Linked DNA regions of Mus musculus. The protein of the gene in region 1 purifies or fractionates together with the protein of each later gene. This does not show direct contact. Links are inferred from orthologs where the notes say so. Each region holds a gene or a part of one and is shown in the gene's direction. Other genes may lie near its edges.

What was found.
Region 2: the proteins of Cop1 (region 1) and Trib2 purify together in Homo sapiens (affinity purification with mass spectrometry; 4 studies listed by BioGRID and IntAct, counting the BioPlex papers as one, with this or other methods). This does not show direct contact. The link is inferred for Mus musculus from reciprocal best matches to the Homo sapiens genes COP1 and TRIB2.
Region 3: the proteins of Cop1 (region 1) and Stk40 purify together in Homo sapiens (affinity purification with mass spectrometry; 3 studies listed by BioGRID and IntAct, counting the BioPlex papers as one, with this or other methods). This does not show direct contact. The link is inferred for Mus musculus from reciprocal best matches to the Homo sapiens genes COP1 and STK40.
Region 4: the proteins of Cop1 (region 1) and Trib3 purify together in Homo sapiens (affinity purification with mass spectrometry; 5 studies listed by BioGRID and IntAct, counting the BioPlex papers as one, with this or other methods). This does not show direct contact. The link is inferred for Mus musculus from reciprocal best matches to the Homo sapiens genes COP1 and TRIB3.
Region 5: the proteins of Cop1 (region 1) and Etv4 purify together in Homo sapiens (affinity purification with mass spectrometry; 5 studies listed by BioGRID and IntAct, with this or other methods). This does not show direct contact. The link is inferred for Mus musculus from reciprocal best matches to the Homo sapiens genes COP1 and ETV4.
Region 6: the proteins of Cop1 (region 1) and Mvp purify together in Homo sapiens (affinity purification with mass spectrometry; 3 studies listed by BioGRID and IntAct, with this or other methods). This does not show direct contact. The link is inferred for Mus musculus from reciprocal best matches to the Homo sapiens genes COP1 and MVP.
Region 7: the proteins of Cop1 (region 1) and Cops6 purify together in Homo sapiens (affinity purification with western blotting; 3 studies listed by BioGRID and IntAct, with this or other methods). This does not show direct contact. The link is inferred for Mus musculus from reciprocal best matches to the Homo sapiens genes COP1 and COPS6.

What each region holds. Positions count from the first base shown.
Region 1 is NC_000067.6:159,304,862-159,308,859, forward strand, and holds part of Cop1 (E3 ubiquitin-protein ligase COP1), read left to right. Parts: intron 1-1,711; coding exon 1,712-1,855; intron 1,856-3,548; coding exon 3,549-3,657; intron 3,658-3,998. UniProt on the Homo sapiens protein: E3 ubiquitin-protein ligase that mediates ubiquitination and subsequent proteasomal degradation of target proteins.
Region 2 is NC_000078.6:15,792,385-15,796,382, reverse strand, and holds part of Trib2 (tribbles homolog 2), read left to right. Parts: intron 1-2,306; coding exon 2,307-2,775; 3' UTR 2,776-3,998.
Region 3 is NC_000070.6:126,102,330-126,106,978, forward strand, and holds the start of Stk40 (serine/threonine-protein kinase 40), read left to right. Parts: upstream 1-1,627; 5' UTR 1,628-1,817; intron 1,818-4,649. UniProt on the Homo sapiens protein: May be a negative regulator of NF-kappa-B and p53-mediated gene transcription.
Region 4 is NC_000068.7:152,336,925-152,341,060, reverse strand, and holds the end of Trib3 (tribbles homolog 3), read left to right. Parts: intron 1-1,053; coding exon 1,054-1,346; intron 1,347-2,373; coding exon 2,374-2,854; 3' UTR 2,855-3,636; downstream 3,637-4,136. UniProt on the Homo sapiens protein: Inactive protein kinase which acts as a regulator of the integrated stress response (ISR), a process for adaptation to various stress. Inhibits the transcriptional activity of DDIT3/CHOP and is involved in DDIT3/CHOP-dependent cell death during ER stress.
Region 5 is NC_000077.6:101,769,085-101,772,614, reverse strand, and holds the end of Etv4 (ETS translocation variant 4), read left to right. Parts: intron 1-659; coding exon 660-734; intron 735-857; coding exon 858-926; intron 927-1,114; coding exon 1,115-1,287; intron 1,288-1,544; coding exon 1,545-1,646; intron 1,647-2,024; coding exon 2,025-2,249; 3' UTR 2,250-2,867; downstream 2,868-3,530.
Region 6 is NC_000073.6:126,990,194-126,994,191, reverse strand, and holds part of Mvp (major vault protein), read left to right. Parts: intron 1-390; coding exon 391-672; intron 673-1,393; coding exon 1,394-1,638; intron 1,639-1,719; coding exon 1,720-1,917; intron 1,918-3,998. UniProt on the Homo sapiens protein: Required for normal vault structure. Vaults are multi-subunit structures that may act as scaffolds for proteins involved in signal transduction. Vaults may also play a role in nucleo-cytoplasmic transport.
Region 7 is NC_000071.6:138,159,417-138,164,064, forward strand, and holds Cops6 (COP9 signalosome complex subunit 6), read left to right. Parts: upstream 1-1,685; 5' UTR 1,686-1,696; coding exon 1,697-1,766; intron 1,767-1,958; coding exon 1,959-2,081; intron 2,082-2,257; coding exon 2,258-2,389; intron 2,390-2,720; coding exon 2,721-2,809; intron 2,810-2,905; coding exon 2,906-2,968; intron 2,969-3,318; coding exon 3,319-3,366; intron 3,367-3,713; coding exon 3,714-3,828; intron 3,829-3,910; coding exon 3,911-4,003; intron 4,004-4,092; coding exon 4,093-4,193; intron 4,194-4,319; coding exon 4,320-4,460; 3' UTR 4,461-4,568; downstream 4,569-4,648. UniProt on the Homo sapiens protein: Component of the COP9 signalosome complex (CSN), a complex involved in various cellular and developmental processes.

The sequences.
Region 1 (3,998 bases):
TTGCCTATTAATTCTGTACTTTCACTCATATATTATAGTTATTTTGATTTCTTAGTAGTACCTGTTTATAAATAGAGGGAATGTATTCAAGGATTATATAACTGATTCTTATTTGAGTTACTAGGTGTTTCTAAATTATCTGAGTTAAAGATCAGATTTCAGTTCCAATAGATGCCATTTACCAGTAGTGTCTTTGTCATACTTTCTCTGCTGTGATAAATAACCATGGCCAAACGCAACTTGAGGAGGAAAGGATTTATTTCCATTTATGGTTCCACAGCATAGTCTATTATTAAGGGGAAGTTAAGTCAGGAACTCAAATACTGCAGGAAGCTGGAAGCCAGAACTGATGCAGAGGCCTTGGAGAAGTGGTGTTTACAGTCTTGCTCTCTATAGCTTGCTCAGCCTGCTTTCTTAGTGCACTGAGAACCACAATGGGTTGAGCCCTCTCATATCAATCAGTAATTAAGAAAATGAATTTCACGCTTGCCTACAGGCCAATCTCGTGAGGCCATTTTGTCAGTTGAGATTCTCCATGTCAAAGAAATTGCTTGGGTTAAGTTGTTATAAAACTAACCAGCACAAGTACCATTGCATTGTCAGTTGTGTGTGTGGGGGGGGGGGAGGGAGGGGGGGGGAATAGTAATTAGTGGCATCATCTCTGAAGCCAGACTACCTGATAATTAAAATATCATTTCAAATCACTTAAAAGTCAGCTACCTTTGAACAGATCACTTTACTGTAATCCTCATTATTCTAAAAATGTTGATAATAGTAATAACTTTCTCATATGGTAGTTAGGAGAAATAGTGATTATTTCAGTGAGAATTTCTCTAGGAAAAACACTTAATTTATATGGAGAAGTATTGAATATGGAGGTTCATTCCAACTTTCACCTGCATTAGGCAATTTAGATTTCTGGCCTGTATGATAAGTATGGAGGCTGTAGTTACATTCTACAAAAGTGAATAGGATCTTGTATTTTGCACTGAAGTAGCTTATTTTGAAATTTGTGTTTCAAAGAAGCTACAAGAGCATAGTGGATTCCCTAAGTCCTGTAAAAGGTGCAGAGGGTTTTTTTATATTCTCTGTTTGTGTAAAAAGGGATATGCCGTGACTTTTTGTAATTCAGAGAGATAGTATTTGTTTGGGGAATAAGGAATAGACTTGAGGTAGAGTAATGATAACTTAGTTCCTTTTTTTGAGAATAGTCTGTCCCTTTGTCACCAATGACAAGAATTTATGAAAAAAATTTATTGGTAATTTTCTTTCAACACTCATAATATTTCAAACTATTAAAGGTTTCCATACTAGGATGTAATATGGTTATTAAAGCTAAACTGAAAAACAGGCTGGGTGTCTTGTAACAAAAGTTCATGTTGACAGTTACAGATCTATACAGTTCTCTGACACTTGTAATTCAGTATCTTGATGACTTAATTCTGATCATGTCACCTAGTGAGACTTAAAGATATTGAAGAAGCTGTCTTATTTGGAGGAATAGAAGCTCTTTAAAAAGGGAAAATGTCAGCTGGAGACACAGCTCAGGGGTATCATATTTGTCTAGTGTACATATGTGCCCTAAGTTTAAGCTTCAGCACTAGGGAAATAGGGAAAAAAAAAGTAAAATGCAGAAAATTTGCTGTAGATAATATCACAGGGTTGGATACATAGCCTCATAGATGACATGTGTGCTCTCCTTCCCCTTTAGTATTGAGTTTGACCGGGATTGTGACTATTTTGCAATTGCTGGAGTTACAAAGAAGATTAAAGTCTATGAGTATGGCACAGTCATCCAGGATGCAGTGGATATTCATTACCCTGAGAATGAAATGACCTGCAATTCCAAAATCAGGTATTTCTCTTTTTTTCTTGGCATAAAGTCGTACACATATAGCTGTTCATATTAGTGCTAAGTATGACATTATTGTATATTTTTTTCCATGAGACTTTCTCATTCAGAGAGCATGCTTTGGTTGTATATAGAGAGGATACTTTGTGTGAAACAGTTTGTGTACATTTAGCCAGCAGAATTGGTGCTCTAACTCTTGTGAATTCTGAGTATTCATTGTATTAAGAAGTCGAATCCAAGGTATATGTGTTTATATGTGTGTTCTAATATGAGTGATAAACTAGTATCATGTTCTTTTTTATTTACTAATTCATACACAGCAGTTTGAGAGCCCGCCCATTTATAGTGGCTTCATACTTGAGATTTTTTTTATATTCCTAAGTAGAGACTACATTGCAAAAATGAATTTCTTAAATGCTTATGTGTTAGGCATTGTCTTAAGTGCTCTTAACAGTTATCTGACATGGTTACCATTATTACCCACACTTACAGTTGAATTGCACTAAAACCAAAAATAAATAGCTTGCCTGGGATAATCTAGCTAATATGTAGAGCGGTGCAGAGTGAGGGAGTTTAATTCTAGAGTCTGTGCTCTTTAAATCCCTTTGTACATATTTATAGCATATAGCCATTGCAGTAAGATTAGTTGTATAACATTGTACTTTAAAATGTTATAGTAATAAACTAAGCAGAATACTTGGTTCATTTTAGTATTCATAGTCAGCATAAAGGAAAATGTAATAAGTTTTAAGTGTTGCTACTGCCTGTTTTATCATGGGCACATGTGCAAATGAATAGTGCTTTATGGCACATTCCAGTAAATGCCTGAAATTGCTCAAGGCCAAAACCTACAGGCTGAAAAGACCAATACCTAAGCACAACTAACAGAGCTGTCCAGTTTGATTTCACCGGTTATGAAATACACTAAGTTAACCAGAGCTGCAGCTATTAAATACCAGATCTGAAATTAGAGTGCAGGTTTGTCGGAATCCATAGTGGAAAACTGAGTTTATTTTAAAATGCAGATGATCCCCTCCCAATCCCTAAAATTTGCCATAAATACAATGGAGTGCAAAATACATTCTTGGATGTTAACTGCTTTTCTTAGTGCTTTATTCGGTAATCCACACATTTTAGTGTGCATGATTTAACTCTATATGTCACAACAATAGCTTATTGCTTTAGATGCAGACTTTTAGAGAATAGCTAAAATCATAAATGTTAAAGCTTTAAATCTGTGGCATGATTTTAATTGGAATTTCAATCATACATTGCATTGGTCAAGACCCTTTGAATGTAAAACTGAAATCCAATTCAGACTCATTAGTTTAGCTTCATGATTTGGCACAGCTGAATATTGGGGCTCAACAGTTTTTAATATCTGTCATTCTGTCGTACCATTCTCTGAGCCATCATTGTCGTTAACAGTTACCCTTTCACATGTTACAGAGGTGATCAGTAGCAACTCTCAGCTCTGTCTGTCATCCTCTGTGATCTTAGTAAAAAGTGGTAAACTTCAGCGTTTGATTGTTTACTATCAATCAGAAAATCTAGATATTCCTAACATCTCTTTCTGAATTATGTGAAGTGATAGAGACCATTTGAAGAGTGTTTATCTTCCTGAACACACTGAAATGCATTTTGCCCCAGTGTTACTTATTTACATCTTAAAGGTTTAGTTTTTTCTTTTGTTCAGCTGTATCAGTTGGAGTAGTTACCATAAGAACCTGCTAGCCAGCAGTGATTATGAAGGCACTGTTATACTATGGGATGGATTCACAGGACAGAGGTCAAAGGTCTATCAGGTAAATATGGATACTAACTATATATTTAAAAATTATATTTTTGTTTTCTTAATTTAAGGTATTTATATGCTTTATAATTAAATTTTTTCAACCACTATTTAATATTTTTATACTTAAGATAATTGTGTTTGTACCAAATGCTTTTCTAAAGAATTTCTCATATGTTATTTTTAGAATGTATCAAATACATTTACAGAAGAATTAATGTCAGTAAATATGAGGCTTTCCTCCAGTGTCTTTGCTTTTTATTTGATTGCAGTTTGTTTCACCACCCCATGTCAATAAATTGTTTCTCCTCTCTCCCTCCCCCGCCCCCGTCACTTCCCCACCCCACTCCCACC
Region 2 (3,998 bases), on another chromosome or scaffold:
TAATGAGAATCCTGCCCCAACTTGAACCCTCTGTCTCCAACTTTTCCTCCTGAACTGGTAGCCATTCACACAGAAGTAGGAATTACTTCCAAGGTTACAGTTCATAGCTACATCAACTGCTCTGCTGCCGAATCAAGGAAGCTAGAGGTGGAAGGAGCTGTTGAGAGGAGCCCTGGTATATGTTACTCAGAATCCCCTCCCTCCCTCCCTCTTTTCCTCCCTCCCTCCCTGTGGCTTCATAGTCTCCTCTCTGGGCAGTTTGGAACATCTGGTGAGACCAGTGGGTGGGTCACTGCCACCTGCCACCTCCTATTAAGAGAAATAAGCTGGAGAAAGAAAGATTTGTCTTTAATCAGTTCAATTCCAGATTAACACAGCTAGAGCCTCCTTAGTTTCGTAGGCCATTAGTTTCAGGAGCATTCGAAAGCAGGCATGGGGTAGGGGTGTTGTAGAAGATGGCTCAGGGAATGCCAGAGGGAATTACATGTTGCTGTGTATTGCGGAATGTTAGATCTGGCACAGAGACAGCCTTGTGCGGGTGGGTGCATGGTGATTACTGGATATCATGAGTGAACTAAATGGATGCTCAAAAATGGTTATGATGGTGAATCGTTTAATGTAAAATTTATTGTATTAAAAGAAAAAAACAGCACCCTCAAAATAAACCATACAGAGAGAGAGAGACAGGGACAGAGACAGACAGACAGACAGACAGACACACACACACAACACAACACAGCCTTCTGCAGTATTCCTCTTTAAAGGGAGATTGAGTGACTTAGCTGGAGCTACAGCTGAAGTTGGTGAGAGATACGCCTGACTGGGAGTCTGCACCCCTAAAGACCACACTGTCTAGGAAAGCAATCAGTGCTTGATTTTTGGAACATGTTCATAGAAGATCCTAGAAGCAACCCATCTTTTGTCATCTTCTCTACTATTGAGCTCCCAGCAGCTCTCCTTAACTAGTTGCCATAGGTGACTTTTCAGACTACCTTGAGAGACTGAGATCTGTAGGTACAGAGAGTAAAAAAGGAAGAAGATGAGAGGAAGATGGTCTTGGGCTACACGCTGTGAGTGATGACCAAGGTGACCCCATTGTAGTTTGTCCAGACACTTTCTGTTGCTAATTTGAACCCTTTAGCTTATGCACTCAAGCAGGATGAAGGCCTGGATGTATGCACTGAGAGACAAGGATAAGTGATGTGAATTTATGGGTCTTTTAAGTACCCCAGAGGCCCAATTCCAGCTCCAACTGTCCTTAGCTACCATCTTAGCAGGACTCCAGGAGTGTGGTAAGAACTACCTACTCAAAGGGTTGTGCTCTGCTCTGTCTGCCTAAGAGAAAAGGGTTTTCATTTCAAACACAGGGAAGGAGTATGTTTACCAGTCTCACAAAGCCCAGGCTGGCTTCCAATTTGCTGTGTAGGTTAATCTTGAACTGCTGATCTTTGCCTCTGCCTTCCAAGTGCTGTGATTACAGGTGTGTACCACCACGCCCAGCAGCAGTTTGTTTTGCACTAATATGATTGATCTAAGAAGTCATCTTAGTTTCTAGATTTTCCATTTCCATAGTGTATATCTTTATTTCACACTCAATGATGAAGCGTGGTGTGTGTGTGTGTGTGTCATATAGGTGATGTAAGCTAGGTGTTAGGGCCAGAAATTCACATGTATTTCTCCACTCCTTCTAGCACATCTAGGGCTTGCATATTTGTATAGATAAGTTGCTGAGTTCTTGAAGAGTCGGTGGATTGGGAGGTGGGATAAATAGTTTGAGAAGACTCTTGGCAACACACTGCTATTGTCACACCCATCTACCCAGACACACAGTCACATGCGAACCATGCACCTGTAATTAGTGATAGGTGCCAGGTCAAGGACCCAAGGCTTTGGGGGTATGACAGGCGGGCCAGGGCAGGTGAAAATCTGGAAATGAAGATGGACTTGGTATTTGGATGCTAGGCTTAGATGAGTAGGTCGTGGAGACCACTTGAGCCGAAATTCTCCCTGCCTTTCTTCTTGTGTCCCAAGAAAAGTGGCGGGTACAGCTAAAGAACCCAGAAGGCAAAGTAAGGAATTCTTGTCCACGCTAGAAGGCTTCAAGAAAATTACTCAAACCCCCAGCTTCAGTATTCTGTGCTATGAGTGACATCCAGCTTGTTACAGGGATGGATGGATGGATGGATGGATGGATGGATGGATGGATGCACAAACATCAGCAACCCTGATATACCGATGGGATGGATGTGTCGATGGATGTGTCTCCCTCATCCTTAGGAGCTTCTGTCTTTGTCTCTTTCCTACAGGACTCGTGTCAAGCTGGAGAGTTTGGAAGACGCTTACATTCTCCGGGGTGATGATGACTCACTCTCTGACAAGCATGGCTGCCCAGCGTATGTCAGCCCAGAGATCTTGAACACCAGCGGCAGTTATTCGGGCAAGGCAGCGGACGTGTGGAGCCTGGGGGTAATGCTGTACACCATGTTGGTGGGGCGTTACCCTTTCCATGACATTGAGCCTAGTTCTCTTTTCAGTAAGATCCGCAGGGGCCAGTTCAACATTCCAGAAACTCTGTCTCCCAAGGCCAAGTGCCTCATCCGAAGCATCCTGCGACGGGAGCCGTCAGAGCGGCTGACCTCGCAGGAAATTCTGGACCATCCTTGGTTTTCTACAGATTTTAGTGTCTCAAATTCGGGATTTGGTGCTAAAGAGGCGTGTGACCAGCTGGTGCCAGACGTCAACATGGAGGAGAACTTGGACCCTTTCTTTAACTGAGCTCAAGGCCCAGGGACACATAGCAGGTACCAGGAGCAAGAGAGAGCCCCAGAAAGGAGTTCTGGGACACAGGTGGCCTGGCTGAGAAGCAAGACGGACATTCATATTTACACATTTCTTGGTTCAGAGAAGGAATATGTTCTAGGAGCTGACGGAACACGTAGCATGGGAACAAGACGTGTGGGATGGGGGTTGGGTTCAGATGGACGGGAGCCCCTCCCCTAAGCTTCTCTTCCCTGGGGTAGCCTGAGAGTCCCCCTTACCAGTAGGGCTATTCTACCCCACTTTTCATTTTGTTCAGAAATAGTTGCAGATCTCGATAGAATCCAAACTCTTCTGCCTCAAACACCTACCTTGGCATTGCACTGTTAGCATTTAACTTCTTGTTACGATTCAGGGAAGGGACAATTGATCGAAGATTTTTTTTTTTTTTTTGGAACAGACCAACCACCTATGTAATAATTAATAAGATTCACCTAAAAATAATAATAATTCGGTGCACACAGACTGACCTGAAACCTGGGTGCTAAACTAAAAGAAAACAAAAGTTCCAGTTGTCGTCTCTCATTCGCACTTTCCAATTCATTTCTTCTAAATAAACGATGTCCTATTCTGGTTAGGAAGTAACACATTAACGCTTTGCTCCCTGAACGGGGAGGGGGAGTCTGTTCCTCCACAGACATTTCTGTTTTGTATCAGCTGGTTTTTGTAGCAGGAAACTATCAGAAGTCAAACTTCCAGATGTATTATCACAGTTCAGGGGAAGAAGAAAGGAAAAGAAGAAAAATCCAACTCCTTTCTGGTTTTTGTTCTTTTGAAGGAAGAGGGTTCACATTGTAGACATTGCTCTCTGCTCCAAATTCAGTGAGGGGCTCCCAGAGGGCAGGCGCCTCCTGGAGTCAGATCTTTTTGATGATGCTGATCTCAACGTTTTGTTTTTGCTTTATGGGAAACTAGTAAAACGAGACAGGTTGTCCCATGTGTATAAAATACAGGGCAGCTATTTCCTTTTCTTTGCTAAGAATGATCCTTTGGGCTTGGAAAGGCCCTCTGGTTTGAACAGAAAGAGTAAACGGGCAATAAGCCAAAAGCCAGGATGATATACATACAAACAGCTCTCTGTCCCAATACGCACCTTGTATTTATTAAGGAAAATGTCACATTGTGATGTATTAAGCCAGTACTTCAATTACGGGTCAACGGGATGACATGTTACATGCTGT
Region 3 (4,649 bases), on another chromosome or scaffold:
TCCATGAGTTGGTGTCCTGATGACAGTTTTTTTTTTTTTTTAATCTCCTCTGGCTGGCACTTTCTCCTCCTCTGCTTTGTTAAAACTTCTATATTTTGAGTCAGCTGAGAGCCTACCAGGAGTTGGAATGGTGGTGTCAGCGCCCAGTGATTCATCTTACTGGTAATTAGTGAACTGGAAAACCCAAGATTCATCCCTGTCAAAGGCAGGGCTTCCGGAATCCTTTTTCTCCTCACTTTGTCAGAGAGAGGAGCAAAGTGGGCCGGCCTTCTGGATGCCTGCCTTTGAGTCACGTGCCTCCTAGAGGTTCCCCGACTGAGACCAGTGGGCATCTATAGGGTGTGGTTAGCTGGATGTGAAACTCCTTGGGTCCTCCCATGGTTGGTGTAATGTGTTATCCCCACTTGGGCAGCCAGGATTTACACTGAATTACCTAGTTTGTAAGTGATACAATGGGGATTCAAGCTCTAGCCTTTTTGGAACCCACGAAACTTTCTTCAAACCACAGCCCAGCCATTATTAGCTGGGTGTCACGGCAGAGGTTACCCTCTCTCTCTGAGTGCTACCTTCTGCATTTGTTAACAGGTCTCTAAAAGTGCCTCATTTTGCATAAGACAGGGCCTTAGGAGCTGGTATCATTACTAGTTATTCAGCATTATCTGCAGCTGAATGGCCACCAAGCCAATCAAAGACATTAAGAAAGGATTCAGGCTGGGACTTCATTATGAAGACCAGCCTTCGGTGTCCTAGCAGGGCTTAGTCGTGTCCACGTGTGTCTACACGTGGATCCAGAATGACCCAGGGGAGGGAAGAGTGTCATCAAGTACACTTGTTAACTCTGAGACAAAGGAGTGGGACTATGGCCGCTGGTACTGCTGCCACCGAGCCCTTCTGGCCGCTTCTACACGGCAGTGGACGGAAGCCAGGATTTTCGAGGGCCCCCAGTGAGTCACCAGACTGATGCAATCCCTTTAAAGGGCTCATCTGCTGGTGCAAGAAGCTGATTCATGGAGGGCGTGGCTGCTGAAGGAGGAGAAAGGACGGAAACTGGCAGGAGGGAGTGAGGTAGACAGCCGGCTGAAGTCGTTCATTGGAACTCTTCACTGCAATCTCCCTGGACAAGACTCTAGGGATGTCCAAGATGAACTTGGCCATCTTTGGGGTTTCTGAAGGGCCTAAAGTGAAATGAATTGTGACAGTAGCGACAGCCAATTCTTGACTTCTCTTGTACCCAACTTCAGCACTTTCCCACACAAATTTCCAGAAGCCGAGAAATGGGGAGCAAAGAAAGACTACTTTTCTAAAGAATGCAGTGCAGTTGGCGGGTTTTGCAACCACTTAGAGACGTCCCCAACCCCAGCAAGGAGAGCATAAGTCGGTGAGGTTCTGCAGAGCCAAGGCGGACCGGCGCCTCTGTCCCAGTCCCACTGTAGATGTAGATTAGCGGTAAGTACCGCCCCCTGACTGTCCAATCACTTTACAGATTTCGACCCAGACTCCACCCAGAACCAATTGGCGATCTTATCTGGGCTTCCTGCCTGAAGGCTTCCGCCCATCCTGAAGATGGCGCACCAACCCCAAACTCAGGCGAGGGGGCGGGAGGCGGGGCCGAGAGCCTATGCGTCACTTCCGTTGTCAGGTGGCGGCGCCGCAGCCATGGAGGGAGGCGGCGGCGGCAGCTCTGGCGGCTGCGCTGGGAGGCGGCGGTGAGCGGCTCCCACGCCCCCGGCCCGGCCCCGGCCCCCGGGACGGAGCGCCGAGCAGCCCCGACTCTGGGCTGCGGACTATGGGCAAGGAGCGCTGATTCCCCGGGAAAGGTGAGTTCGGGGTCCCGGGACGCGGAGCCGGGTGGGGGCTGCGTGCTGGCGGGGCGGGCCACCGTGGCGGAGGGACCCCGGTGACAGCCCGAAGCTGACCGGCGCGACCAGAACGGCTATAGTGAATTCCCCCTCCGCCACTGGAGGTCTGTCCTTCCCGGCAGCGGGGGCGTCGGCTGCCGGGAGCCTCGGTCTTTTGCCGCAGCCCTGGGAAATGGGCACTGCTCGCCTTGCCCAGACCCACTCAACCAGTCATCGAAGCAGCCGGCGTTTGGCCCGCTCTAGTTTTTCTCCCAGAGAGACCCGCTCCTCCTCTCCATGCTTCTCTCCTGACCTAGAGAGTGACTTGAAAGTTAGAACGAGTCCCCAAGGAGAGCCAGCCAAGGTTTTCCTCCTGGAGCCCTCACCCGTTGGCACCAACACCATCGCTGCTGGGGAATTTTCACATCCTGGGCGGCGTTCAGGTGCGAGTCACAGCAACCTGCTTGCCAGATCCACGTTGGGCCGGTCTTCACCGTGGGAGAGCTTGCTGTGGTCAGTGTTTCACCTGCCATCCTGGTCAGGCCCGCCCATTCCTACGATGCTTGGCCCCACCTTTCAATCTTGGGTAGGAGCTTTCGGATTCCCGGTGGCTTCTCCGTCCACCCCCACTCCCCCAGGTTGTTGGCAGAAGGAAGAGCTGACAGCCACCTTCGGTGGCAGGATAGACTTTGCTCTGTTTTAAGTCACTGGAGGAAACCGGTTGGCTTTGCTGGTTTTGAGAATCATTGAGGAAGAGGGTAGTCACGCTGGGCTGGGCGCCTTTCCCTCTCGGCTGAGTAGTTTTGCATGAGATAAGGAAGAGCAAAATCCTATAGCCCTTATTTATAAACAACGTTGTGAGTTCCTCCTTAAAGGCCCTGTTATTTGATTGTGGATTAGACTATCTCTGCCAGAGATAGTCCCCATTCATTCATTCATTCATTCATTCATTTTTCTCATAACAAAAGGGCCCTGCCTGTAGAGCCTAGTGCTGTGTAGTATTCGTAGGCTTTGGAGGCTCACTCCTTAAAGCCTGGGATTAAAAGTGTGTGTCAACCTTGCTCTGGACTCCTTAAATTCAGATTCTGGTGCCGCTGCTTTCTGGTTGCCCGACCTTGGGTCATTTGTATTCGTCCTCATTTGCAAACCACTGGCCATGGTAAAAAGAGTCATTATGGAGAGTTGCGCTAACACCTAATAAAGAGGTTCTTATCCGAACTAGTTCACTGTCCAGCTAGAGGAAACTGACCTGCAAGCAGATAGGTGAAATGTGATCTACAAAAGCAACAGAAACTGAATGCTGAGGGAGCCCAGTGGGGAAGCTGCTAGCTCAGTCTGGGAAGCCTGAGCAGTAGTGACAGGAGGATAGTGACTGGAAGGACAGAAAGGGGGAGGGAGGCTTAGTCATGTAAAATGGGAGATGCTATTTGGAGAGAAGTACAGAGAGTCAGAGAGAGACAACCTTAGCTGTGTCAGTAGAGTGGTATGGAAGCCGACAGGGCACAAAGTAAAGCAATATAAGTTAATAAAAAAAAATGAACATCTCATGGATCATTTGGAACTTTGTGTCTAGTGCACAAGAGGCCAGTAAGCTTTTAGCTGAGGAGTGACAGGACTAGATCTGTATCTTAGATCGCATTCTCTGTGAGGAGTTGAGGAGGGTGAGAGAGCTAGACACTTCGTCAGAGACCATCACATGCTTCCAAGAAGAGAGTATAGACCTACTGGACCTGTGCTGAGAAGGCACCGTGTGGTCAGTGCTAGGTGGACAACCCCTTCAAGTGCTCCCCAAAGTGCTCTTCTCTCTCTGAGATCTCAGGTTGTTTAAGCTGCTGGCAATGGCAAGGTAGGACTTTCCTCCCAGATGTAAGGGGGGTTTCATTTTCTCTCCTGTGCCTTTAACGGAGAAGACAGTAGTTTGAAGCGGTTAAGAGCTTTTTTGGCTCAAACAGGTCTACTTCTAATCCCTGCTCAGCTAGCCAGATTTCTCACTGTAAAAAGACACAGTAGGACTTCTTCCGCAATAGGGCTGTCGTGAGGATCAAGACAGATGTTACAGAGTTAGGACTCAGCGTTCAGTGTGCAGTAGACGCTTGGTGAATGGTAGTTTTCGTGGCAAATGGCTAGAGAGCTTCTGGGACCCACTTGAAGCAATTGACAGGAGCTAGTAGAGCTGTGTCCCACGGAGCTGTTTGTTCTGAGGGGTCCCGAGAGCACGCTGCAGTTTATGTATTCTATCTGAAAAGAGAATGGGGCTTCCCCAGGCTGGACAGCGTCACTGCAGATGTGTCTCTCCCCTAAAGCCTTCTCTAGGAGCAGAAGCAGAGCTAGCCCTGGTAGTGTCGGGAGGCAGAGCAGACAGACCTCCATGAGTTCTAGTTCATGCTGGTCTATGTAGTGAGTTCTAGAACAGCTAAGGCTACATAAAGAGACCCTGTCTTAACCCTGCCCCAGCCCCCAGAAAAGCAGAACTACTGAGAAATAATATTGTTCGGCCTTGTGAGACAGGGTCTCTCTTTGTAGACCAGGGTGATTTCAAATTTGTGTCTGGGCTTACAGATTTGTGCCTCCACACTGGGCTGAGAAGTAGCATTTAAAGCATGAACTGGAGGGAATGTATGTCGTGTTCTCTGGAGTCCCCACTGATGAGCCTGCTCTGGAACCTGAGTTAGCCTCAGCAGGGAGGGTCACGCTGATGAACGTGTGCTCCACCATGCTTATGTGTGTGGTGGCTCAAGGTAGAGACTCTCTGCAGTACACCTGTGAATTTCCACGTGGGACTGCCACATGCTAGGGGCAGGGGCAAGGAAG
Region 4 (4,136 bases), on another chromosome or scaffold:
AGGCTGGCCTCAATGGCCTCAAACTCAGAGATCCTCCTGGCTCTGCTTCTTGAGTACTGGGGATTAGACAAATATGCTACCATGGCAGGCTCACATTTTTTTTTAAGATTTATTTATTTATTATATATAAGCACACTGTCACTATCTTCAGACACACCAAAAGAGGGCATCCGATCCTATTAGAGATGGTTGTGAGCCACCATGTAGTTGCTAGGATTTGAACGCAGGACCTCTTCCAGAGCAGACAGTGTTCTTATCCACTGAGCCATCTCTCCAGCTCACGGCTCGAACTTTTTAAAATAGGTGCTCCCTTCTAAAATACCAGCCCACACTTGCCTAGCAAAGACTGGTCCTGTGTTTGGTCTCCAAGATAGCAATATAAAATACTCTGGATTTTAGCATCTTTCTTTCTTTTTTTTTTTTTTTTTTTTTGTTTTTTTTTTTTTCGTAACAGGGTTTTTCTGTATAGCCCTGGCTGTCCTGGAACTCACTCTGTAGACCAGGCCGGCCTCGAACTCAGAAATCCTCCTGCCTCTGCCTCCCGAGTGCTGGGATTAAAGGCGTGCGCCACCACGCCCGGCTATCTTTCTTATTTCTTTGGAATATATGGTTTGGGGTTTGCTTGTGCCGTACTGTGGACACCAAGAGAACAGGGGCAATGGCTGTGAGTCTGGTCAGCTGGGCAGGGGCTGCAGACAGGCCATTGAGCTGGCTTTTCTTATGCTGGATGTGTGGGAGAAGGGGGGCTATGGTGGTGATCTGCCTCCACGAGTGGTTTTCTGTGTGGGTTACATCCTAGTTTCTGAGGCCTAAATCACACAGGGTGGCAGCTTAGAGCAGAGATTGGTGCATGGGTTCTAGTCCCAAATATGCTACTTGCTGGCCCTGTGACCCCGGGGTCTCCTGACCTGTGTGGCTTTGCGGATATTCGGTTGATATTTGGCTGTGAGTGACTTGCTAAACAAGGGCTTCTGTATGTGTAGCTCACAGCTCACAGAGTTGGCTGTCCCATTTTGCTAGGTCCCTTGTGCTTACTCCTGACTCTGTCTCCAGGTGTACCCTGCCAGCGAGGCCCAGGCGGTGCTGGCACCTTATGCCCGGCTGCCTACCCACCAGCATGTGGCCCGTCCCACAGAGGTCCTGCTGGGCTCTCGGCTCCTTTACATCTTTTTCACGAAGACCCATGGGGACTTGCACAGCCTGGTGCGCAGCCGCCGCGGTATCCCAGAGTCCGAGGCTGCCGGGCTCTTCCGGCAGATGGCTAGTGCCGTGGCACACTGCCACAAGCACGGGCTTGTCTTGCGCGACCTCAAGCTGCGTCGCTTTGTCTTCAGCAACTGTGAGAGGTGAGTGTGACCCCAGAGGCACACTTGAGAGGTAGGCCACAGTGGGGAAACTGAGATCCAGGGGAGCAGAGTAACTTAGGAAGAGCTAAGGTAAGCATAGCTTATGCTTAGCATGTGCAAGGCTCATGATCCATCCTCAGCAGCAAAAGAAGACAGGGAAAGAAACCTCCAGCACTGAGTGACCGCTGCCTGTGCCGTGAAATCTGTAGCCCTAACAACTGGGCTCGGGGGAGAGACAGGTGGGTCCCCAGAGATCACTGGCCAGCTAGTCTATTCAATTGGTGAGCTACAGGTTTAGTGAAGGACCCTGTTTCAAATTAAATAAGGACAAAAGGAATATCTTATTTTGGGGGTGGTAGCATACACCTTTAAATCCTGGCTGAGGGGAAGATAAGTGGATCTCTGTGAACTGGAGGTCAGCCGGGTCTACAGGGTGAGTTCCAGGCCAGTCAGTGCTATGTAGTGAGATCCTGTCTCAGAAAAAAAAAAGTGTGTGCTGGGGGATGGGGGAGTTGGCAAGATGACTCAGTGGGTCAGAGAGGACCCATCCACGTGATAGCTAACAACCACCTGTAAGTCCAAGTCCAAGGTATCTGACAGGCTCTTCTGGCCTTCATGGTGCCCAAACACATGAAGCAGGAAAACACCCATTTGCATAAAATATAATAAATACAAAAAGAAAGAGGCCAAGTGGTGGTGGACTTGGACCCCTGCCCTCAAGAGGCAGAGGCAGGCTGATCTCTGAGTTCAAGGTCAGCCTGGTCTACAGAGTGAGTTCCAGGACAGCCAGGGCTATATAGTGAGACCCTCACCCATCAAAACCAAAAGCAAACTAAACCAAACAAACAAAAAACTAACTGAGGCTCGGCATGGTGGCCCACACATGTAATCCCAGCACTCAGGAGGCAGAGGCATGAGGACAGTAATTAGCCCAGACTGGACAGTGTACAAGACAGAGAGTGGAGAGGAGGCTGCTATTCCAGAGGACCTGAGTGGGACCTGATTTTTTTTTCTGTCTGTGACCCAGGACGAAGCTGGTGCTGGAGAACCTGGAAGATGCCTGCGTGATGACTGGATCAGATGACTCTCTGTGGGACAAGCATGCGTGCCCTGCCTACGTGGGACCAGAGATACTCAGCTCCCGGCCATCCTACTCTGGCAAAGCGGCTGATGTCTGGAGCCTGGGTGTGGCGCTCTTCACCATGCTGGCTGGCAGATACCCATTCCACGACTCTGAGCCAGTCCTGCTCTTTGGCAAGATCCGTAGAGGGACCTTTGCCCTGCCTGAGGGCCTATCAGCCCCAGCCCGCTGTCTGATCCGCTGTCTCCTCCGCAAGGAACCTTCAGAGCGACTTGTGGCCCTGGGAATCCTCTTGCATCCCTGGTTGAGAGAGGATCACGGCCGAGTCTCTCCTCCACAGTCTGACCGAAGGGAGATGGACCAGGTGGTCCCAGATGGGCCACAGCTGGAGGAGGCTGAGGAAGGGGAGGTGGGGCTGTACGGCTAGGGCCACCTTACTGGCCCCTCAGCTCCAAGGTGTGAGTTGAGTACCTGAGTCTCAGCTTTCTCCTGACTTTTTGGGCCAAGCTAAACCTTAAGTGCCTTTCTGGAGGAAGAAACAGCCGGCGTGCCTTATTCGTTCCTGTGCCTAGTGGGGTGATGCTCCCTGAGTGCCACGCCCTGCTCTAGGTGCTGTGAACAGCAAAGGAAAAAGAGGGAGAAATATACCTTGCTGGCCAAGTTGCCACAGTGCCGCATGCTCTCCGGCCAGCCCCTGCCTTGGGCACGTTTCCTACCGGGGCTGTCTTCTCTGGTGCTGGTTCATGGGACAGTCCCTTTTATCAGTGCCCCAGCTGCCTTCTGTCTTGTGCCTTTAAACAAAGGAAACATCTCTGTGCCAAAGACCAAAGTCCTCACTCACCATGTGCCTCAGGACCACAAATCAGGCCGGGCTGGGATTGTGGCCTCCAGGCAGGAGAACCTGTTTGAAGAAGACTTGGCTGTGGGATTCAAGCCAAAAGGATGAGACTCCAATAAAGAGGCATCTGACTCAAGGAATAGTCTGGAATAAGGATCCGGGTCTGTTTACCCTGGTAGCCTCCGGCTGAAGCACCAAAGTTGGAGGGGGAGGACCAGGCAGGGTCTGTCCTACTGCCTACAGACAATCTCAGGCCCTGTTCTGGGGACTTTTAGTACCCAGGCCCACAGTCAGTTTGATGACTTTGGTCTGGTTAAGTGTGTATTTTCATCATGTGCCCAATAAAAGAGAGCTGTGTGGTTTGATATGTGAAACATCCTTGGTGACTTTCTCTTCTTCAACGCTGGCCCCACCATGAAAGCCAGGTACAGCTCAGCCCCTACCAAGTGGCTTGTGAAGAAATTCCTCTACTGATCTTCCTGTACATGCCTTTTCTTCTAGAGACCTTGGGTCTCAAGTGGGGAGCTTTCTAAGCTGAGCACTGGGGTATGGCTCACGTGTAAGCACACACCTAACATATTCAGGGTTATGGGTTCTGTCCTTGGCCCAAAAGGGCATCAGTTTAAACTGGAAGAAACATACTTTGCATAAAGACAGGTCAGTGACCAGGGTAGTTTCAGGGCAGGTCAGTCTGGCTCTCCAAGCTGTTGGCAGAATGTCTGCTTTCTTGACTCCTTCAGTCCTTGGCTGTTTTCCATGGAGATAGCTGGCACTTATGTCACATTGCACAAAGAAAAGGGGCATTGTAGCACTTATGAACCTAGCACTTGAGAGTCAGGCTGCCCCAAGTGCAATCTTTCCAGAACACAGC
Region 5 (3,530 bases), on another chromosome or scaffold:
GAGAGGTGTCGGGTGTCAGCGGCTCATTCATAGGTGGGAGTGGAGGGGGCGGGAAAGGGTTGGAACGTGAAGCGTGGCTTTCCTAAGTGGAGCTGGGAGGTTTCAGTTCTATGGCGTGGAACACAGTAGAACCTGCTTATACCTGAGGAAAAAAACAGACCAGAGCCCACTGCCTCTTCTTTAAATAGATACATCCCCCACCTCCACCCCAACTCTTCTCTCTCTTTCTCTCTCTCTCTCTCTGTCTCACACACACACACAAAGGCATGGAGGTACTAGGCTTGGAACCTGACCTGACGACCGGACATGTGCCCATTCCGAGGAAGTCTTAGGCAAACCCTTCCCAACCCCCGGAGATTCATCTCTCACCCCCTCCTTCCCCTGAACTCACAGGAAAACAGCTGCTCCCTGGAATCTTGGGCCTTGAGAACAGCCTGCCTGGCCCCAGCTGCTGCCACCCATACCCTCTGCCCCTGCCCTCAAACTGAGGGCCTCAGCTTGCAGCTCCCTCTGGGTGAACTTCCCCTGGGATTTAGTGGCGGGAAAAGGATGGTCACTGGATTGCAGGCTAGCAGCACCAACTCCTTGAATGTGTACAGGCCTTCCTCCCCTGCTTCACCTCAGCCACTTACAATGTCACCTTTTCTTCCCTCCCCCAGATGTCCCTGGATGTGCATCAATGTACCTCCACCCAGAGGGCTTCTCTGGACCCTCTCCAGGTGATGGAGTGATGGGTAAGGCAGCAGGATCCTAGCTATGGGGGAAAGAGTCACCCAGGCTACGAGTCTCTCTGCATTCTCTAGGGTTTTCAACAGTGAACCCTCAGATCTGAGCAATCCCCATCTTTCCTCCACAAGGTTATGGCTATGAAAAATCCCTTCGACCATTCCCAGATGATGTCTGCATTGTCCCTGAAAAATTTGAAGGTCAGAGAAGTGACTTGGTAGGAGGGTCAGGGTCTTCTTCACTCCTGTCACATACTGGGTCCTGTAGGAATCCCATTTCATTAGTGGAAGAAGTCAGGACACTCGGGGAAGAGTTTGGGGAAGCCACATGGGTGGGTGGGGGAGTTGGTTAGGGCATATGTACATCACACCTATTTCCACTTTCCCAGGAGACATCAAGCAGGAAGGGATTGGAGCTTTCCGGGAGGGGCCACCCTACCAGCGCCGGGGTGCCTTACAACTGTGGCAGTTTCTGGTGGCCCTGCTGGATGACCCAACAAATGCTCATTTCATTGCTTGGACAGGCCGGGGAATGGAGTTTAAACTAATTGAACCTGAAGAGGTAGGTCTTACGTATTCCCACCCCTCCTGTCCGGCACCTTTGGAGCCCTGAGAGGAGAAATGGTGGCACTTGCTTCCACCACTGTCCTCAGTCTGCCTGACCCAGTTCTTGCCAAGCCAGAGTCAGCATTGTGCTGGTGACTAGCCTAGATTGTCCCCGCACCAAGAACCTCAAATGTCCCACTCCCCACCCCACCCCTGCTATTTTTCCTCTGAGATTGCATCTCCACCCAAATCCTTTTGTCTCTTGTCCCCCAGGTTGCCAGGCTCTGGGGTATCCAGAAGAACCGGCCAGCCATGAATTATGACAAGCTGAGCCGCTCGCTGCGATACTATTATGAGAAAGGCATCATGCAGAAGGTTGGGCTGAGGTCCTAGCACGGCCACAAGGAGGGGCCAGGGGTGGCTAAGGGTTCAAAGTGTGTCAAGAGAAGGTCAGGTGGGGTGTGTGTGTGGGGGGGGGGGGAGGCGGGCATTCTCAGCAGGTTTTCGAGAACAGAAAATGTAAACCCCTAGGTTCCCCTGTAAAGTTGCTAGACAATGAATGAATAGTCCCAAGTGTGCTATGATTGAGATGAGACGTGAACAAGAACCAGAAGGGAGTGGGTTTCAAGAAGAACCAGTGTAAGAGGCAAAGAGGTCCTAGTGCATATTTGTGGCCCATGAGAAGGGGAAAGTCTCCAAATTCTCTACTGAGGCAGAGCGTTCGTGTCTGGCCTGACAACCCTCTCTCCACAGGTGGCTGGCGAACGCTACGTGTACAAGTTTGTGTGCGAGCCGGAGGCCCTGTTCTCTCTGGCCTTCCCAGATAATCAACGTCCAGCTCTGAAGGCTGAGTTTGACCGGCCAGTCAGTGAGGAGGACACAGTCCCTTTGTCCCACTTGGATGAGAGTCCTGCCTACCTCCCAGAACTCACTGGCCCCGCTCCGCCCTTCGGCCACAGAGGTGGATATTCTTACTAGGCACCAGTGGCTTCCCCTTGACATGGTGGGGTTGCTCAGTGTATATATCAACTGATTTGGTATTGGTGAAGGCCCTCTTTCTGATGCCTGTAGAAGTCTCTGGGGTCAGAGCTCCACTATCCCATCTGATACTCCTGGCCAGACTCAGCTGCTAACCAGAGTCTGCGGGAAAGACAGTGGAGGCAGGCCAAATCTAAAGGCAGTAGCCGAAGTTCGCTGTGGCTCACCTGTACCTTCAGTTCAGCTTGGCCTCTGCCTAGGTCTTGCTCAGAGGCCAAGTTCCTCACCCCCACCACAGAGATCCAGTGTTCTATTCTGGGGACATACAGGGACTTCCCTTGTTTATTATGGCAACAGGGCCAAGGGGATTCTCAGAACACCCTGTGTCTCCCCTCTCCCAACCCCCCATGGGAGACAAAGTTCTGCCTGGGTTCTGCCCTGAACAGGGGGGTCCTGTGTTCTTGGTGCTGTGCTCTGGGAGGCAGGAGCATGTGGGCGGCAGCTGGGGGGGGGGGTTGGGTGGAAGAGTAGGGATGGCTCTCTGCCCTAGGCCTACCCAGGCCTAATTCCACCTTTGCCTCTTATGCCAGACCTTAATAAAGCCTCTGCTTCTCCGGTTGTTTCTATTTGCTCTTTGCTTCCATGAGGCAAGGACCTGGGGTGGGAAGAGCTATGGCCATGCAGCAGTTGACCAGAGTTTGGAGTCTGTCCCCTACAAGGCCTTCCGTGAGGACCTGATGCCCTGTTCCTGGAGTCTAGCTCAGGCCCTCACTTGCGTTTCTGGAAATCCCTTGCCGTTGGTTTTCCTCTAGAAAATGGATTTTGGAAACTCTGCTCTTACCTAACCTAGGACCGTGTGAGGATCTAGAAATAATGGAGTGTACTGTTTAACCCAGCAGGGCTTCTAGACCACGCCTTGCCACGGTTAGCCTGTCCCTAGAAACATCCTCGGGTAAAGACGTGGTCTGTGGCTTCTGTGACCATAGTTGCTCCAGTGACTGGGAGCCCATGTTCATCCCAACTGCTTGTCCTTCCTCCTACACAAACTCCAGGCTGCTGCTTTTACTGAGCTCAGAAACAAGTGTTTGGAGACTAGAAAAGGAGAAAGCAAGCAACTGTAGGGGCGGGGGTGACAGCAGGTCCCGAGTAGGCTCTTTAGTGGGGTGGCAGTGACAGACATTCTCCTAAGACCACTCCCAGGTGGGGGAAACGGACCGAGGAGCAGCTCTGGAACGGGAGGGACAGAAGGAGGGACAGAGTCTGGATCTAGAGCCAGCTTTC
Region 6 (3,998 bases), on another chromosome or scaffold:
CTCCTTTTTTGCTTTCTGCGCTGCTCTCTCTTAAGTAGCCTCTCATTTTTTTCTCTGTTCTTGTAAGGGTTGGGCATATCCTGTTCTGTCAAATCCTTCTCTGAGTGTCTGCCATTTAGTTAGATGTCACTTTCAAACATGGGTGCTTCCTTGTACAAACTAACTCTACTGTCGTTGTTTAGGATTAAAGGTGTGTTTTAAGGGCATGTCTGTATTTCAGCCCGAGTAGCTATATTGCTGGATTAAAATCCCTCTACACAGTATGGGAATGGGAAAGTGCCACCAGAAGACCTGGCTCAAGGTCATGCAATAGTGGCAAGCCAGGAGGCTATATTGAGGCAGTATGGCCAGAGAGACACCATGACCTAACATCCCCTTTTTTCCCACTAGGGAGAGAAGTCCTTTTTCCTCCAGCCAGGAGAAAGGCTGGAACGAGGCATCCAGGATGTGTACGTGCTGTCAGAGCAGCAGGGGCTCCTGCTGAAGGCGCTGCAGCCCCTGGAGGAGGGGGAGGGGGAGGAGAAGGTCGCCCACCAGGCTGGAGACCGCTGGCTCATCCGAGGGCCCCTGGAGTATGTGCCATCTGCCAAAGTGGAGGTGGTGGAAGAGCGTCAGGCTATCCCTCTGGACCAAAATGAGGGCATCTATGTTCAGGATGTCAAGACGGGAAAGGTACCAGCTGTGGGATGGGAGGTACCGGTGGTGGCTTCCTCTGGGCAAGCAGGTAGAGTTGATGGAGAGAGGCAGGTTGGGAGAAGACTCATACAGCAGCAGCCAGGTGGCCATGCCATACTCCATTTGTCATCTTTGTCCTAAATACCTAATTTTACATTTCAGAGACTCCAGCTGAGAGGATGGGCTAGGCTTTAGGACAGGAGTTCTGCCCTGATGCAGATGTGGTCCGAGCATAAAGGTCTTGGTGGACTTTTGCTGCTTCACCTAAACCTTGACCTTGGTTTTACTTGGGGTGACACTGCCAACTTTCCCCCTGAGACTCTAATGTAGAAACAATTCAGAGCCAGAGGCAGCACTCGTGTATATAAGGCGCTTCCTAGGATCACAGCTGAAGTTCTGATGCACACCACATTGCTTCAGCAAAGGAAAACCCTAGAAATAATACCAGGCACTTACTACATACCAAGTGTGGTTCTTTGAATTAGACGTGTGAGCCCTTCCTCATTCTGAAACCCCAGATGGCCCATTGTACAGATGAGCAAGTGAGGCATGAGCAATAGCTTGAGAAAAAGCGAGCAGACGGCAACCAAGCTGGAATGCAGTCTTCCTGCAGACACCTGCTTTAACCAGGACACTGTGCTAGCCCTGGGCAGGGTGGGCTCAGGGCTGAAAGGATGATGGTTCTCCCTCCTGCCCTCTCTGAAAATGCCTCCCCTAGGTGCGGGCTGTGATTGGAAGCACCTACATGCTGACTCAGGATGAAGTCCTGTGGGAAAAGGAACTGCCTTCTGGAGTGGAGGAGCTGCTGAACTTGGGGCATGACCCTCTGGCTGACAGGGGTCAGAAGGGCACAGCCAAGGTCCTTCAGCCCTCAGCTGCAAGGAACAAGACCCGAGTGGTCAGCTACCGTGTCCCCCACAACGCAGCGGTGCAGGTGTACGACTACAGAGCCAAGAGAGCCCGGTGAGCCAGCAGAGGCCTCTGCGGGGTCCCGGGGTCCCCAGGGAAGCTCTCAGGGCGGCTGACTTCCAGCTCTCTCCACAGTGTGGTCTTTGGGCCTGAGCTAGTGTCACTGGATCCCGAGGAGCAGTTCACAGTGTTGTCCCTTTCTGCTGGGCGACCCAAGCGTCCTCATGCCCGTCGTGCACTCTGCCTGCTGCTGGGACCTGATTTCTTCACTGACGTCATCACCATCGAAACTGCAGATCATGCCAGGCTGCAGCTGCAGCTGGCTTACAACTGGTGAGGCTGGGGGCTGCGGGGGGGGGGGGGGGCAGCCTCAGAAACAGAGGAGGGCCCCCAACTCAGACAGAAGGCAGGCCTTGATGCCCTAGCCCACCTCTGTCGTTTATTACTGCAAGGTTTGTTTTGGTTTTGATTTTGGTTGGTTTGTTTGTTTGTTTGAGACAAGGTTTGTCTACGGGCCTGGATATCCTGAAACATACTCTGTAGACCAGGGCTGCCTCAAACTCACAGCGATTTACCTGCCTCTGCCTCCCCAGTGCTCAGATTAAAGGGGTATAGCACCACTCCCGGTTTCTGCAAGATTTTTTTTATTTTTATTTTTATTTATTTTTTAAAAGATTTATTTATTATTATACATAAGTACACTGTAGCTGTCTTCAGACACACCAGAAGTGGGTGTCAGATCTCATTACAGATGGTTGTGAGCCACCATGTGGTTCTGGGATTTGAACTCAGGACCTTCGGAAGAGCAGTCAGTGCTCTTACCCACTGAGCCATCTCCACAGCCCTTTTTTTTTTTTTAACACCAAGAAAACACTTTAATCAAACTGCAGAAACAATGGTTATAGTACAGAATATCCATAAGCAAAAGATACACCATGTTTTAAGTACTTACAAAGTTACAAACCATTTGCTTCCTTAACATTTTGATTTTTTTTAAAAGTTCACAACACAAGGATGATCAGATTTACCATTTTGCATTTTTTGAGGGAAGGGGGGTATATTTATCATCAGCTAGATGTGCTCACTGTATGCTCCATTATTTATATGCAAGAGTTTTTTCACAACCTATGTGCATGAGCAGTGTGAATAAGTGGTCAGAGCACCTGCCCCAGAACGCACTGCTGGGTCCTGTCCCAGCTGTGCTGTGTGCTGTCTGGGGACCTGCACAGGGAACGTTGTGTTTTCTTCCTTTCCCCTAGATGGAAAATGAAGATCACCTACTTCACGGGGTGCTGAGAGACTTTAATGAAATAGTGAAATACTGAGGTGCTGGGGGCAGGAGAGTAACTTTTCTTCAGTGATGTAGCCACCCATAAATTACCCATACTCTAGTGAATAACCCTGCCCGATGCTCATGCAAACAGCCCTAGTTAAACTCAGTGGGTCATTTTTCTAAAGCCATGGAGCTAGGAGCAAGGTTGGGAACAAAGGGTCCATGGGAGGGAGAGGAGGATAACAGAAGGAAATTGGGCATGATCAAAATACATTATATATGTTAAATATATATAATGTATATATAAATACATGTACATATATTATATATGTGTGTATATATGTGTGTGTATATATATATGTGTGTGTATACACATATATACATGTATATTATATATAATATAAATACATATGTGACATATATGTGTATATATGCATTATATTTGTTTATATATTTATATGTATGTATACATACATTTATATATTTATATACATATATACATACACATATATATGTATGTATGAGATTATGAGATAATAAATAAAAAACTATTTTTCAAAAGAGCAAGCAGGGCCCATGAAGTGCACTGAGCACCACCTGGCAGCCTGCGCTCCCCCCAGACCCCACGGAAAGGTGGAGAGAGGAAACTAACTCCATCGGAGCCCATGGCAGTGCCCCTCCACACTATGTAGGCAAACACACACAATAAGATTTTTTTTTTAAAAAATTAATGGCCCAAAGCTGGGCAATGTTGGTACATGGTTTTTAAATCCAGCACTTGGGAGGCAGAGGCAGGCCTGAGTTTGAGGCCAGCCTGGTCTACAGAATGAGGTCTACAGAGATAGCCAAGGCTATACAGAGAAACCCACAGCACATGGCTGTAATCCCAGCTCTCCAGAGGTAGAAGGAGGATCAGGTATTCAAGGCCAGAGTCCTCTGAAAGAGCTCAAAGCCAGCCTGGGTCTCTAGTGTGAGGAGGTTCACCAGTGTCTGGGCCTGTTCCAAGTTCCTCACCTTGTGGTGGAGAAGAGCTAGCTAGTACTGTGACTGAGGTAGACGGGGTGCTGGCCTAGTGACAGTTAAGAGCACAGACCTTAGAGCCATCTTGCCTGGGTTCCAAGTTTTGGCTTAGCATATATGG
Region 7 (4,648 bases), on another chromosome or scaffold:
CTGCCCTGAGGAAAAGGACTGTCAGTCTCATAAGTTAGCTAGATGACCCTTAGACTAGCACCAGCAATCTGGGACACACAACAGAAGTCTTGAGACAGCTGTGTAAAGATTGAAGCTGATTTTCCAGTGTATTTGACATAGTTGTTACCAGATATTTTGCTGTCATAGACCCCTATGAAATGTAGATGAACCTGAAAGCATTTCCAGCGTGACAGGAAGGGAGCCCTTTCCCTAGTGGAAGGACTACTGCGAATCAGTGCAAAGCCATGATTGGTCCAAAGCACATACTTCAGTGACTGTGATTAGTAAAAAAAATAAATAAATAAAAATAAAAAGTAGCCCGGGCGGTGGTGGCGCACACCTTTAATCCCAGCACTTGGCAGATTTCTGAGTTCAAGGCCAGCCTGGTCTACAAAGTGAGTTCCAGGACAGCCAGGGCTATACAGAGAAACCCTGTCTCGAAAAACCAAAATAAAAATTTAAAAAAATGGCTGTTATTGGCCCCAAATGAATGATTGTGGACCAAATACTCTTTCTTGGCTATTTAAGCAGGTCGCTTAGCCTTAGTTATTGTCCAAGTAGGAAACGTTTTCTTTTATTTTTATTTTTATTTTTATTTTTTTTATTTTGGAACTCACTCTGTAGACCAGGCTGGCCTCGAACTCAGAAATCCGCCTGCCTCTGCCTCCCAAGTGCTGGGATTAAAGGCGTGTGCCACCATGCTGGGCAAGTAATTGTCTTTTTTTTTTTTTTTTTTTTTTGGTTTTCTTTTTTGTTACAAGTAATTGTCTTAATCACTGTTCTATTGCTGTAAAGAGACACCATGACCAAGGCAACTCTTCCCCTCCCCCCACCTTTTTTTTTTTGTTTGTGCGACAGGGTTTGTTTGTGTAGCTTTGGCTGTGATGGAACTCACTTTGTAGTCCAGGCTGGCCTTGAACTCATGAGGTCTGCCCGCCTCGATTAAAGGCTGTGATTAAAGGCGTGGGCCACAAGCCCTCCCAATAGCAGTTGCTAAGTTGTGTAAAGAGGTTGTCTTGAAACTGAAGAAGCTGAACAATTCAAGAGTAATTACTACTGGGGAGATGGCTCAGGGGATGAAGTGTTAGGACCTGAGTTTAGATCCTCAGTACATCGTTTTAAAAGCTAGGCATGCTGGGTATGGTACACACCTTTAATCTCAGCATTCAGGAAGGAGAGGAAGGCGGATCTCCTAGAAGTCTGCCTAGACGAATAGCAAGTTCCCACCAGCTGGCCAACATTGTAAGACCCTATCTCAACAAACAAGTGATCAAGTCTCTATAGATTATATGCAACATGAAAAATTTTATATCCTGAATAAATTGTCTTCCCCATTCCCTTTTACAGCCTTTCCTCCTTTTGATCGCAATTTTCTCTGTGTTTAGTATTGACAGTGTATCCACTTGAGACCTGGAAACTAATAGCCCTCCTTGGGAGGTAAAGGCAAGAGGATCAAAGTTCAAAGCCATCTTCAGATACACACTACAGAACTCATGGCCAGGCTGGTTTACATGAGAACCGCTAGCAGCAGCACAACACGCAGAGCACCCTGAGCTACTAAGTACTGGCAGCTGCCCCGCCCATTAGCAGCACCAAGTATACACTGAGCATGCACCGCTCCCCGACGGAAGCCGAGAAGGAAAGGGGCGGGCCGTGGCTGGCGGGCGCGGGGAAAATGGCGGCGGCAGCTGCGGCGGGGGCGAATGGGAGCGGAGGCAGCAGCGGCATGGAAGTGGATGCAGCAGGTAACGGGGTGCGCAGACCGACTTCTGGAGTTGCCCTTGAGAAGTGGTCTTGAGTACTTCTTAAACCTGTCCCAGGATAACTTGAGGGCAGCGATGGACGGCCGGGCTCTGCTGGTCCCCTGCTTCCATGTCTAGGGGAAAATGTGTGGGCCCGAGCTCTCAGCCGCTATGTTTTCCTTTCACCTTTAACAGTCCCCAGCGTGATGGCCTCCGGAGTGACTGGGAGTGTTTCCGTCGCTCTTCATCCCCTTGTCATCCTTAACATCTCAGACCATTGGATCCGCATGCGCTCCCAGGAGGGGCGGCCTATGCAGGGTGAGTGTTGTGTGTAAATCTCAAAATCTCTTGGAGATTTCCTCCAGTCACTCCCCTGCGCCCTTTCTTCCAAATTATTGTTTCCCCAGTCGTTGATTCACGCCGACTCGGGAAAGGTTTTCCGAGACGCCTGTTCCTCACCTAGTTTCCTTGCGCTTCTGTTTCTCTCCCCTTAGTGATTGGGGCTCTGATCGGGAAGCAGGAGGGGCGAAATATCGAAGTGATGAACTCCTTTGAGCTGCTGTCCCACACCGTGGAAGAGAAGATTATCATTGACAAAGAATATTATTACACCAAGGAGGAGCAGTGTGAGAGGGGAATAGAAGTGGGTGGGGAAGGAAAAGTGGGAAGATTTTTGTTTTGTTTTGTTTGTCTTAAAGAATAAAAGGCCTGAGGATGTAGGGCAGTGGGGTAAAGTGCATTTCCTAACATTCGGGAAGACCAGAGTTCAATCCTCAGTACCATATAACCCAGGAGATAGAGGCAAGAGGTCAGAAGTTCAAGGTTAGTTAGGTGTAGTTATTTTAAACTGACCCAAAATATGAGGAGGGAGGGGAGAACCGGAAAGAACACACCAGGCCCATCAAACTAAGGAAGAGAGGTTTAAAGGAATATTTACTCTGGCCCCTTCTTCTCCAGTTAAACAGGTTTTCAAGGAGCTGGAGTTTCTGGGTTGGTATACCACAGGGGGGCCACCTGACCCCTCAGACATCCACGTCCATAAGCAGGTATAGAAGCTCAAATATGTGCATGTTGGGGAAATGAACAGAAGGTTAGGGGAAGAGGAGATACTGACTCTTCCTGGGCTTTGCCTTATCTTCTAGGTGTGTGAGATAATTGAGAGTCCGCTCTTTCTGAAGTTGAACCCTATGACCAAGCACACAGATGTGAGTGTTGTTGACCCAATGTCCCCTTTTTCTTGATCATCTGCCACTATGCCTTTGCTCTAATTTACCGACATTATGTGTATTAGAGAAAGCTTGAGTTGAATCTCTACCCTGCTGTTTACACCCATCAGTTGTGTGACTTCATCTCTTCAGTGGTGTTTCCATATGTAATGTGTGTAAAACCTAGAGAAAGCATGAGCCAAGTGTGGTGACAACACTTGTAACCAATCTTAGCACTCAGGAGATTGAGGCAGGATTGTGAGTTCAAAGCCAGCCTGGCATGTGTGTAAGTTCAAGTGCATTTGCTTTTAGTAAGAGCTGTTCTCTTGTCTCCGTCTGTGTTTTTACAGCTTCCTGTCAGCGTTTTTGAGTCTGTCATCGATATAATCAATGGAGAGGTAATATATAACCTGCAACCTTCAAACCTTTTAGCCTGTTTCCTGCATGCCGTGTGCAGGCATAGGACAACCCTGGGTGTCCATCCTAGCTTTCTACCTTGGGACAGACTCACTTGTTTGCCAGGCAGGTTGGCCTGTGAGCTTCTGGGAATTGTGTCTCCACTTCCCATCTTGCTGTAGGGGTTCCAGGATTACAGTCACATGCTGTCACATCTCACTTAATGTGGGTTCCGAGGCTCTAAATTGAGATCCTCAGTTGTGCAGCAAGTACTCTACCTGCTGAGCCATCTGCCTAGGCCTAGGTCTGTTTCCTGACTCTCCCTATCTGAGAACTCTTTACTCTGCAGGCCACAATGCTGTTTGCTGAGCTCACTTACACTCTGGCCACTGAGGAAGCTGAACGGATCGGTGTAGACCACGTGGCCCGGATGACAGCAACAGGCAGTGGGGAGAACTCCACTGGTAAGGGAGGGGAATTCAGTCTTTGGAGGTAGGGGTTGGGTGTGGCCACAGGCCGCCCTTCATTTGCCCCATTCCCCTGCAGTGGCTGAACACCTGATAGCTCAGCATAGTGCCATCAAGATGCTGCACAGCCGTGTGAAGCTCATTTTAGAATATGTCAAGGCCTCTGAAGCAGGTAGGAGAGGTGCCTGTCACTTTGAAACATTTTTCCTCTCCTGGAAAAGTGACAGCATCCACATCAGTGCAGCCTCCTTGTGTCCTTAGGAGAGGTTCCCTTCAACCATGAGATCCTGCGGGAGGCCTATGCCCTATGTCACTGTCTTCCAGTTCTCAGCACTGACAAGTTCAAGACAGACTTTTATGATGTGAGTGTTGACACCTTTGATGGGGAGGTGGGGCTCACACCACCTCACAGGTAGGAGGTGAAACTCAAGTGTCACTGGCTAATACGAGGGACCCCTGGGGAACTGGTTCTTTGTGTTCCCTCCCAGCAATGCAATGACGTGGGGCTCATGGCCTACCTCGGCACCATCACCAAAACGTGCAACACAATGAACCAGTTTGTGAACAAGTTCAACGTCCTCTACGACCGACAAGGCATTGGCCGGCGAATGCGGGGACTGTTTTTCTGATGATGGTTCTGGAAGGGATGGTGTGTGGGGCTCAGACAGCTGTTCCATGGACCTGAGTACCACATTCCCTTTAGAGAAACTCATTAATAAAAGAGCAGCCCCTTAGCAGCCCTTCCAGTGGCTTTGTCCTCTCAGGCACCACACTGGTTTCTCAACATGGACTCTTAAGGAAGCTTCACCCATTAATC